Schizosaccharomyces pombe: one gene and its partner. The gene in region 2 interacts genetically with the main gene of each other region. Each region holds a gene or a part of one and is shown on either strand. Other genes may lie near its edges.

The links.
Region 1: mutations in mib1 (region 2) and kap114 together harm fitness less than expected from each alone (positive genetic interaction), as found in Schizosaccharomyces pombe (one large-scale study listed by BioGRID).

The regions. Positions count from the first base shown.
Region 1 is NC_003424.3:2,372,552-2,378,312, forward strand, and holds kap114 (karyopherin/importin beta family nuclear import signal receptor Kap14), read right to left. Parts: upstream 4,002-5,761; 5' UTR 3,835-4,001; coding exon 3,729-3,834; intron 3,673-3,728; coding exon 1,451-3,672; intron 1,411-1,450; coding exon 1,241-1,410; intron 1,220-1,240; exon of another isoform or gene 1,194-1,219; coding exon 1,075-1,193; exon of another isoform or gene 1,033-1,074; coding exon 862-1,032; exon of another isoform or gene 826-861; coding exon 752-825; exon of another isoform or gene 713-751; coding exon 593-712; 3' UTR 501-592; downstream 1-500. Other genes in the region: ppa3 (protein phosphatase type 2A), read left to right, coding at 4,804-4,964, 5,031-5,101, 5,214-5,761. UniProt on the Schizosaccharomyces pombe protein: Required for nuclear protein import and mediates docking of import substrate to distinct nucleoporins. Serves a receptor for nuclear localization signals. Mediates the nuclear import of TATA-binding protein (TBP) and of histones H2A and H2B.
Region 2 is NC_003421.2:835,808-840,548, forward strand, and holds mib1 (DNAJC11 family protein), read left to right. Parts: upstream 1-1,677; 5' UTR 1,678-1,797; coding exon 1,798-1,851; intron 1,852-1,912; coding exon 1,913-3,126; exon of another isoform or gene 3,127-3,176; coding exon 3,177-3,597; exon of another isoform or gene 3,598-3,654; coding exon 3,655-3,784; exon of another isoform or gene 3,785-3,787; intron 3,788-3,830; coding exon 3,831-3,850; 3' UTR 3,851-4,154; downstream 4,155-4,741. Other genes in the region: spore wall alpha-1,4-glucan synthase, meiotic Mok14, read left to right, coding at 4,155-4,741.

The sequences.
Region 1 (5,761 bases), on a different chromosome or scaffold from region 2:
GTTTTCTTTTGACTATGGATTCCCTTGATTTTACGAAATAATCCCGTTCCTTTTTGTGACTTTTACCTTTCGGTAGCTTGCTGACCTGGTGTTTCTTGAATTTTTGCATAGATATACGGTGGCATATTTTAATGCCGATTTACCTAATTTTGTTCTTTTTCAGTCTTAATTATTTTCATATTGAAATGCTCATTTACTTGTGCCATATTAATCTCCAGATAAGACCTTATTTCATGCTCGTTTATCTGCACTTTGTTAATAATTACCATCATACTCTCTCCAATAAAATGGTAATTATTGGTATTATATAACCTTGTTTTTATGTTTATAATGAACTAAGTTTGTCTGTTTATTTTAATTTAAAAAATGTATCTTTTGAAAGAATTAATTTACCAACTTTATTCTTCATATACTTTAGTCCCTTTCAGCTTAAATAATCCTTTTGACCTTATACCTAGAGCCTTAAGTACTCTGAAAGGTATAATTTTACCCTACTTTCCTTTTAATGCACATGATATTAGTAAATGTTATAGTGCAAGTAAACTATTGGAAATCGTTCAGGTATTCTTGATTTTTTAAATCCTTTACACCTTTATTTTTCTTTAATTTGAACGAGCGCATCCTGTTCTTCCTGAGGTAGTCTAAAAACAACCTCGTTGATATTGTGCAGATTGCTTTTCATAGCTTCCTTAAAAAACTCTAGAAGATAAAACTAAAAATGTTAGCCCTAAAAACCAAAACTTTAACCCACCTGCAAATCAGTATTATCCTCATCTTCTGAATTGTCTACGCCAGAAAATTCATCTTTGGACAATTCGTTAACATCTATTGTTAGCCTTTTCTTTTAAAGGTCTCGCGTACCATTAGCTGATAGCCCAAACGTCTCTGCACTGATAGGACCGTCATCCCAATCATCCGCTCCATCATCGGAAACTTCTTCAACAATTGCATCTTTAGACAACGAAACAAATTCCTCTGAAAGTAGTCGCAATATTTTTTCTCCAACGCTTACATATGAATATTCCTCGGGATCTAGTTTTGGTTAATGAAAACTATCAAAAGCTTTTAACATACGAAGTTTAGACTGCGACCGGGTTATAATGCGATTAGAATGAGAGATAAGTTCACCTTTAACTTGAACTGAATCAAGTAGAGGACTGTCAAAAGAATAAATTTTAGTCATAGCAATACAACTTTCAGGTTAGAATTTATATAAGCATCAAATAATATAAGGACATACATTATAGAAATGTTTTTGAAGTTGCTAAAATAAACAAAGTTGTCACACCAAACGGTCATAAGTACTTCAAAAGCCGTTAGCCCTTGTTCATTTAATAAAGACGATGTCAAGAAGTGCATCATTCCCAAAGAGTCCTTAACAATTAATTTGGCAAAAACGTAAATTATACTCTAAATAAAAGTCAGAAACAGGTATTCAATAAGAACTTACTTGAATAAACCGTGGTTGTTCAGCTATTGCCAATCTCTTAATGCAAGAAAGAAGAATGGACTGAAGATCGACCATTTGACTTGCGTGATCAGCCAATTCAAGTAAGATAGGCCCAACTAAAAAGCAGGCGGAATCATCACTCTCTTTGTCAAGTAACTGATGCAAAATAAAAAGAATGTATTGAAAGCCACTACTACCTGAAATCTCCGTTTCCAATAATTGTGGTGTGTCCTTTTCCAAAAGCCCCTTAAGAATTTCCTGAGATAACTGAAGCAGTTCTGTGTCTCCAGAATGAATTTGAGTAATCTTATAAACAGGGGGCAAGACATATCCAACAAATCCATTAGGAAGTGGTGAAGGACCTGCACGAATCAAACAAGAAAGCAAGGTAGCCCCAATATTAACCATAATCGGGTCTTCTTGATTCAGGACCTGTAATAGTTCTGGCAAAGTAATTTCACACATACTTTCATAGTTATTTGCCGCATGGATAATGTCCTCAAAGGTGTCTTCAATAATTCCACAGATGTAAGGATCAGAAGCGTTCGTAGCAACCAAATTAAATAGAAGTGGAATAACAGAATTACCTAATTCAGCAGCCTTTGCACAATCAAGTTTTACCGCAGAAGAAATAGCTTCCACAAGTAATACAAGAGCTTCATCGCTTGACTTCGAAGCATACTGAGAAAGAACTTCCAAAATCATCGGCTGCAAAGAAAGTATCGGTTTGACTTTTCCGACTGAACAAAAGCGCTCAATAGCTTTCATAGCAGCATACTGTACAGTATCAACTTGTAAAGCATTAACCAAATTATTCATTATTATTTGGAAAAATTGAGAGGCTACTACGGTGCTTTCAGAGAAATATCCGATAAAGAGGAAAAACCTAGAAAGAAGTAAAATTGGAGCATCGGAGTAATCAATACGGACTTTGATAGCCTCGTATATGGGGTCCAAGTAATCATCATAAGTGTCATCTGAAGCAGCATCCACGGAACAACATGCATACAAGAGGGCTTCTTGATATATCCAATTGATTTCATTGTTTAATATGTAAGTCGCGGACATTTCTCGTAGACTTTGCTGGATTGGTAAAGTGGTATGCTCTTCAAATGCACTTAGTACGCTGATGGCGGCACCGCGAACCGTATCACTAGCAAAATCCATAGAAAATTCGTTTGCGATATATTCACTGACATCGCTTTCATATACTTCAATTTGATGCTTAGGTAGTTGCGTATATTGCACCAGAAGTGGAATGCAAGGAGGTAAAGGAGGTACGGGGACCGTATTACTGACAAACAAGTTTTGAACAAACTTGCTTTGCAAAGCTACAGAAACGAATAGCAGTAGTTCAACTAAATAACGAATAGGGTATTTATCACCAAATGCTGAATCATCTAAACCATCGCTAAAAACAACTTCTCGTATATATGGATCTAGTAACTTTTCTATAATATTCCAAACAAGTTCGACGAAGGTCACAACGTACGGTGTCAATTTAGAAGGAAACAATTCGCGAAGTTTTGTAAGAGTCATAGCAATTTCTCCCATGATACAAAAATAACCACAGGAATCAGGTAAAATAACTTGTCGATCATCAACGAGGGAAACTTCAAACTTGTGCGAGAACATATCCATCCAAGGGGGAAGTATTTGTTCAAGAAATACACGAACATGTTCAGCTTTCGTTTCTTTATAAATCTCAATAAGTTCTAGGCAAGAACGAAACAGTTTAATTCCTCTAGCTTGCAACATCCTCATGGAATCATTAGGGGGAGCGGAAAATATAAACTGATAGAGAATGGATGCAAGTTGAGGTGCAATAATAAAGAACTGTTCTTCAACAAGGGACTCATCTACAAGCTCGTCCAGAACATCCAGTGAAGCATTAATAGAGTTTTCATTAGTAGATTGTAAAAGATGCAGAACGGCCGGTACAACTTCTGGCCATTCATCGGGATAATCCACGTTTGCAATTAGAGAAACAGCATATGCCACAGCCTTGATTAAAGTGAAATTGTCAAGGCTCACTAAAAGATGTAATAGTGTTTCTCTGACATGTTTTTTGACATTTTCATCGGGTATCGGTCCATCTTGAAATTGCTCAAACAGTGGAGACCAATGGTGAACAATATATCTTTGTAAATAAATGAGAGAACCTTGTCTTAAAGGAACAGAAGCACCAGAAGATGCGATATCTGTTAACTTCGCAGCAAAATCTTCGTAAAAGATAGTTAGTAATTTTTTCGGTTAGTTTATAGCTTAAGTAGCATACCGTGATATTTCTCAAGGTCTCGTAACCCCAATTCGGCTTGTATTCTTGAATTAGGATCAGCAGATTGCACTTGTTCAAGCAGCTTAATGATTTTGCTTTCAACCATTTAGCGTGATAATAGACGTTAAACAATTGGTAGGTTTTGATGCTATCTGCTTAAAGAAAGTAGATAATAATAAATATATTTATGTACAGACGGGTATAGTTAACCCCTTAAAAATGGCTGTATTTAATAATTTTTTATGCAGGTATAATGCAGGTACTACTAAGAGTGAAATGTTACTAGGAAATTCATGTTCAAAGAAGTGGATGGTAAATAGGTGACATTGTCACTTAAATTGCTAATGTCTAACAAAATAGTGTTAATTGAAACAATAATTGCTTGTATTGTTGTTCATTTAAAAAAAAAATTAAAAAGAAAGGCCATGTAACTATTACTATTTTCATTCTTGATTTTCCTTATATTTTAATGTATTGCATAACTGAGTTTTTTAATGACCGACTGATCTTTGAATACAAGAATATACCTAATCAATTATCGCTTATTTTCAACCGAAATATTTATCTGATGGTCTGAAACGAGAGAAGCACTAAACCTTTTCAGCAGAAGAGACAGATATTCATATAGAATGTCTGAAAGAATTTTAACACGTTTTTCAAGCATTATGTAATTTTTGTTCTTTGGGTATACCATTAGAGGCTTTCTTAACTTAAAATCTCATTGGCGAACTACACAGTATTATGTATTAATCGTGTAGTTTCGATCACTGACAAGTCAGAAACCAACCTCCAAATTTCATAAAACTGACACATACAACATTTTAGTGGAATTTTTCTAATGCGTGCAAATAAAGAGAAGTAACGCGTAAGCTTTCCATATAAGAAGTGCTTAATCCTTTGTTTTTCGAAGCGTATCCGGTCAAAGCCGATTAGACTGATACAAACCTTGGGTGAAATTTTCCCTAGCCAAGCACTGTTTGTGTCTTCTTAAATTATATATATCCAATACAAAACGGTGCAAGACATTGTTTTTGTATTTTAATAAATCTCACTAGTTTCACGGAAATTCCTAAAGATGATTGACCTCGATAACATAATAGAGAGATTATATGAAAAACAATTGATTGCTGAGTCCGTTATTGCTTATCTTTGTTCTCTCGCAAAGGAAGTTTTAATGCAAGAAAGCAATGTTGTCAGGTTGTCTACTCCCATTACCGTGGTTGGTGATATTCATGGGTATGCATAGATTCAATATTGCAAAAAGTTCATTCTTTGTGGACATTCTGCTTACAAAGTATATAGCCAATTTGATGATCTACTTGAAATCTTTCGTATAGGAGGCCCATGCCCATACACAAACTATCTTTTTCTCGGTAAGTTAAAATGATGTTCATTAGAATCACATTAGCTGATTACTACAAATCATTAAAACTGAACATTGAGAACACAGCACATGCTTTATTATTCGTTGCTAACTATTTGAAGGTGATTATGTTGATCGGGGCTATTATAGTATAGAAACTATAACCCTTTTGATATGTCTCAAGTTACGGTATCCAAAGAGGATTACTCTTTTGCGCGGAAACCATGAGTCCAGAGGAATAACCCAAACCTATGGATTTTATTCAGAATGCTTAAGAAAATACGGTAATGCTAATGTTTGGAAATATTTTACCGATATCTTTGATTTCCTAACACTTTCTGCAACAATTGATGACACTATTTTTTGTGTTCATGGTGGACTTTCTCCTAGTATTCAGCACATAGATCAAATCCTTGTCTTAGACAGGTTTAGAGAATTCCCACACGAGGGACCTATGGCCGATCTCGTGTGGTCGGATCCGGATCCTAGCGTGCAAGAATTTTCACTTTCGCCCCGTGGTGCAGGTTTTTCTTTCGGTGAAGTTATTGTAACAAAATTTCTAGAATACAACAATATGAAGCACATCTTACGAGCTCATCAACTATGCAGCGAAGGTTATCAAATATTGTTTGAAAAAAAATTATCGACAGTGTGGTCTGCCCCAAATTAC
Region 2 (4,741 bases):
GGAGTGGAAATTGTGGGTCAAGAAATTATCAATGCAGTACCAGTATTGAATAAACAAAAATCTATGAAGAAAGAAAGCGGAAGTGCAAGAGCCGACTTTACGTCGAATGAAGGGACCACGTTAAAATTTTTCAAATGTACGTCCGAATTGACGCTAGTCTCCTTAGAAACCTTCGTTTTCTTGCAAAAGATTGTAAAACCTGTTTAGCGGTGTAGTTTGTTGAAGGATGGATACGCTGGTAGCAACAAAATACTAGGCGTAGGTAAACAATCTAATATATCAGCGTTCGAATCCGGCTGCCATCACATTTTATTTAACCCGTTTAGCAAATAGATGAGGTGCTTAATCAACAATAACGACGACAACCTCTGAGCTTCACGAATATGCTAAATTTATAGCGCTTCACTAAATCGTATACCGGTTCGCGCTAAATAAAAACTGATGCTTAAATTCAAATTTCTGTGTTAGTAAAAGAGCAGATAAAGCGAGGATAAAAATGTAGGATGTTGATTAAGACTCTAAATAGAGTAGCGCAGAGAATAATACTAAATACTGAAAGACCGATCCCGTTAAACTAATATCAAATCCATAGCATCAAACAGAGGTTTGTATTATGTATCCTATGAACTATCCTCATCAATAATTGCTTATTATAATATAACATAAACATATACAACTTTCGTGTAACTAGCCAAGGACTACTATAAGTAATATGGTTTATTCATACAATGCTAGTTCCTATACCTATAGAAATTCGTTTCCTGCTGAGCTTATTTTAAGCTATGGGTAAGCGAGTCAAAAACCAAAGACGCTATTTGTAAAATGGCAAACGAAATTAGGTATTCTTGTTTTAATTATAAGCTTAAGAGACATTTGACATCTCGTTGGTAGTAATAGAAACTTGTTTTTTAACTTGTTCCATTCGCTTTAATGATAGCTGCACTGCCCTTGGTACTTTATTCTTGAAACTTTTTAGATTTTTTATATATCACAAAGCTTTTTCTAGTTCACCATTCTCAATTTTAGTGCTTCCTTAATCTAATAGTTGGTTTTGTACGCTGAATTGGTTTCGCATTTAAAAGTGCATTAGTACGTTTTTGAGAATCAAGTATAAGACATTTCAAGTAAATTGAAAAATTCCTGTCAGTAATACTTTATATCTAAGTCAAATGGTGTCATCTGATAATAAAATCCCTCAACAGTATTATTTATCAAACGAAAAATGTCATTAGTCATGAAAAGCTTCATTCGCTTATTTGTTTTGAAATTAAGAATGAAAGTTATGACTACATATCAATTCATTAAGCTGATATCTTTAGTATGCAATCCATTATTTTATACCATCTCCACTTTTTGTAAATCATTAAACATAATATCTAAAGCCAATTTAGCATTATTCAAATTCGAGACTTATTATTTTAAGTTTGTCTTAGAATTTCATAGTTTGCAAACTGTGTAAAATGAAATACGCATGGGTTTGGCAATTATACAAAAAGCTGCTCCCGAGCACAATTAGTTTAACTAGTAAACTCATGCTTTTCGAAATGGCATCAAAGCCAAGATAATTTGATCATATAAAGTTTTATTATTTAAAAGTTCCTATATTAAAATACTGCTATAGCTCACTCTAATCCTACAACCTACATCAAACTTTACATTACCTTGGTCACTTATAGTGAGCACATACCTTGATCATACATATGTCTGCACGATCCATACTCTAATCTGTGGTTTCTGAAAATTTACACGTAAATTAAGATAATTTGAAGTAATTTATTTTAAAATAAAAGATTAGTCATGGATGAAGCGGATTCTTGGGAGCTTTATTTGGCTCTTGGACTTCCCAAAGATGTAAGTATAAATAATCTCATTTGGGAATGCATATTTTATTAACATTTCCTTTAAACTCTAGGCTACAAGTGACCAAATAAAAGAATCATATTACAGACTATCAAGACTGTTTCATCCTGATCGTCACACTGCTGACCAGAAGGCAGCAGCTGAGGAAAAGTTTCAAATTATACAACATGCTTACGAAGTATTATCTGATCCATCAAAAAAAGAGATTTATGACAATTTTGGAGAACAAGGATTGAAAACAGATTGGAATGTTGGATTTCCAGGGAAATCAGCTGAAGAGCTTAAAAACAAAATAAGGGAGCAAATTCAGGAAAGAGATATCCATGAAATCGATTCTTTGGTGCAGAGTCGTTCTGAGACTACGATAGTGGTCAATATGACCCCCTTGTTTGCCAGAAATATTCGAGTTCAGAATGCTCTTGGTTTAGGTGCTGGTACTAGAATGCTGACCCCTTATGAACGATTTTCCTTAATCCAGTGGGTATCTTTTCAAATTAAAAGCTCTTTCTCTATTCCAACATCGTTTTCCAATGACCTCAAAAAGCCGTCTTTCAATTCTTTTTCCTCAGGCTCTTTTGATGATGAATTTTCCGCGCCTTCAGATGAAGATGAAGGCAACCATAAAACATCCTCTCGTTTATCTATAGTCACTGAAGCATCAATGAGACAAAACTCAAAGCTTCAACCTTCCATTTTTGCCGTTTATCATTCTCAGCCCTCTCCTAACCTTAGTTCTGAAATTGGATTTTCTCTTTTGAGGCCAGGTTTAATTACCGTCAAGTCAGTGTACGCTATCAATAACCAAACTTTTATTGTCCCTCTTATTCAAATATCGGGTCTAAAGCGTCCCCCGCAAGCCACCGTAGTCATCGGACGACAAATCACTCGCTTTGGTACTCTTACAGCACGCTGGAAAACTGGTGTGTGGTCACTTGGTTCTTGGGGAATTGCTTCCCCTCGTGGAGCGAATTCCTCATTTTCACTTACTTGGCAGCAAATGAAAGCTATTCCAAATAGTTTGGTCCCTCAACTCAGTTGGAACGCTGAAGTTACTGCTGGTTTAATGTATAGCGGTATTGCTTACAACTATAATTTAAAAAATGCAACTGAGGACTCACCATATCAAATCAAACTCGGGACTTCGATGAGTACAGTAGGAGGTCTTCAGGTTTCCGGTGATACGAGTCGTAAAGTTGGCCGTTATTCAACCTTTGGAGTAAATATTTCAGTTGGTGTCCCAACTGGCTCTATTACGTTTAGTCTTAAGTATGTTCATTTCTCGATTTCTTCTCAACTACAAATACTAATTTTTTTAGTTGGTCACGCCTTGGTCAAAAGATTTCTCTTCCTATTATGTGGTGTAGTGTGTTTGATCGTTCTGCAGTCTTTTGGGGTCTCGTATTTCCGATTACTTCTATACTTGGAGTTGAGCAATTTTTCCTCCGTCCCAGGCGACTTTCCAATCAGAAAAGACTGCGCTTATTACGATTACAAAAACTTAAGGATTCTCAAGAACGCAAGAAAGTTTCTGCAATTCGAGCTGTTAAATTGATGAAGGAAATTGTAGAGAAAAAACAGAAATTGGAAATGGAGAAAGGCGGTCTGGTTATTGAGTATGCCGAGTACCGAGTCGTTAATTGCGGTGCAAACGAACCTGATTTAAAGCAAGATGTGACTATATCAATTGCTGCTTTAGTTGAAAACTCTCGTTTAGCTATCCCTTCTAGTGTTTCAAAGGTAAAACTATGTCGCTTAACATTTCATTTTTGTTTTGATTGCTAACTGTTGATTTAGTCGTCAATTATCGGAATATATCCATTATTTTCTGACAATGAAAAAGAATTGGAAATTGTTTATACTTTTCATCAGCAGCGGCATCGTGTTGTTCTCCGTGACAAGCAAGGTGTTTTTTTGCCTAGTCGAGGTATGCTCTCATATAATCATATTAAACATGTATTAACATCCACAAGAACACAAAATTTTGTCTTAAATGATACGTCTTTATTAAACAATCATTGTTTACATTTTCGCTAAATTAGCTCCTATCACATTTTTTTGTTTGTTTATGTTTTGGCATTTTTGAGTATAAATATTACAACGATTGATCACCGTCTTCCCAGAGCATAACCCTTTCCTTTACTAACACAAGTAAATTTATATTTCTTTTGCTTTGGCAAAAAAGATAATAGCTTGCTTCAAGGGTGACTTACTGTCGAACTTGTTCTCATCTAGCCGGGTTGCTATTTGTGTCTTAGGCACATTTCCTCTTTTGGAAATTTTGATAGAAAATCAGGATGAATATAAAGAAAAAGAGCTTTCTCTTTCAATTTTTGTTCGGATGGATTGTACTGTCTTCGGCTCAATGGCTATCGGTTTTGGATGAGGCAGAGAATTTGAACTCTTCTTTTTCATTAGAAAGTGTTGATTCTTTTGCTCCAGTAAGACCAAGGTTTATAATCGATGAAGACTTTGCTGAAGATTACAACCTTACTGTTGATATCTTGCATCGTCCACTTCAGGAAAATTTCGATTCTTTCTTTCCAAACGTTGAAGCGTATGTTGAAAGTGGAAATTCTAATGGTGATTTGATGAGCGACAATGGTAAACTAGATGATTTAAATTCTCGAGCGGCCTATTCTGCCCTTAAAGCCCTTCAAAACTCTTATGGATCATCCCATCTTTATCGCTTTACACCCTATGAATTGTTTGGGCAATCTATTTGGATTGAAGAAGCACCTGAAGTGAATCATGTCGGTTGGTCTATTATGTTCGATAACCTTGGCCGTTACTTTTTACTAGAGTTGCGCGGTCTACGCGAGGTTACTTTTGCTTTGTTTATTACTTTTTCAATCGTTCCTATTATTACAGGAATCCTTACTGT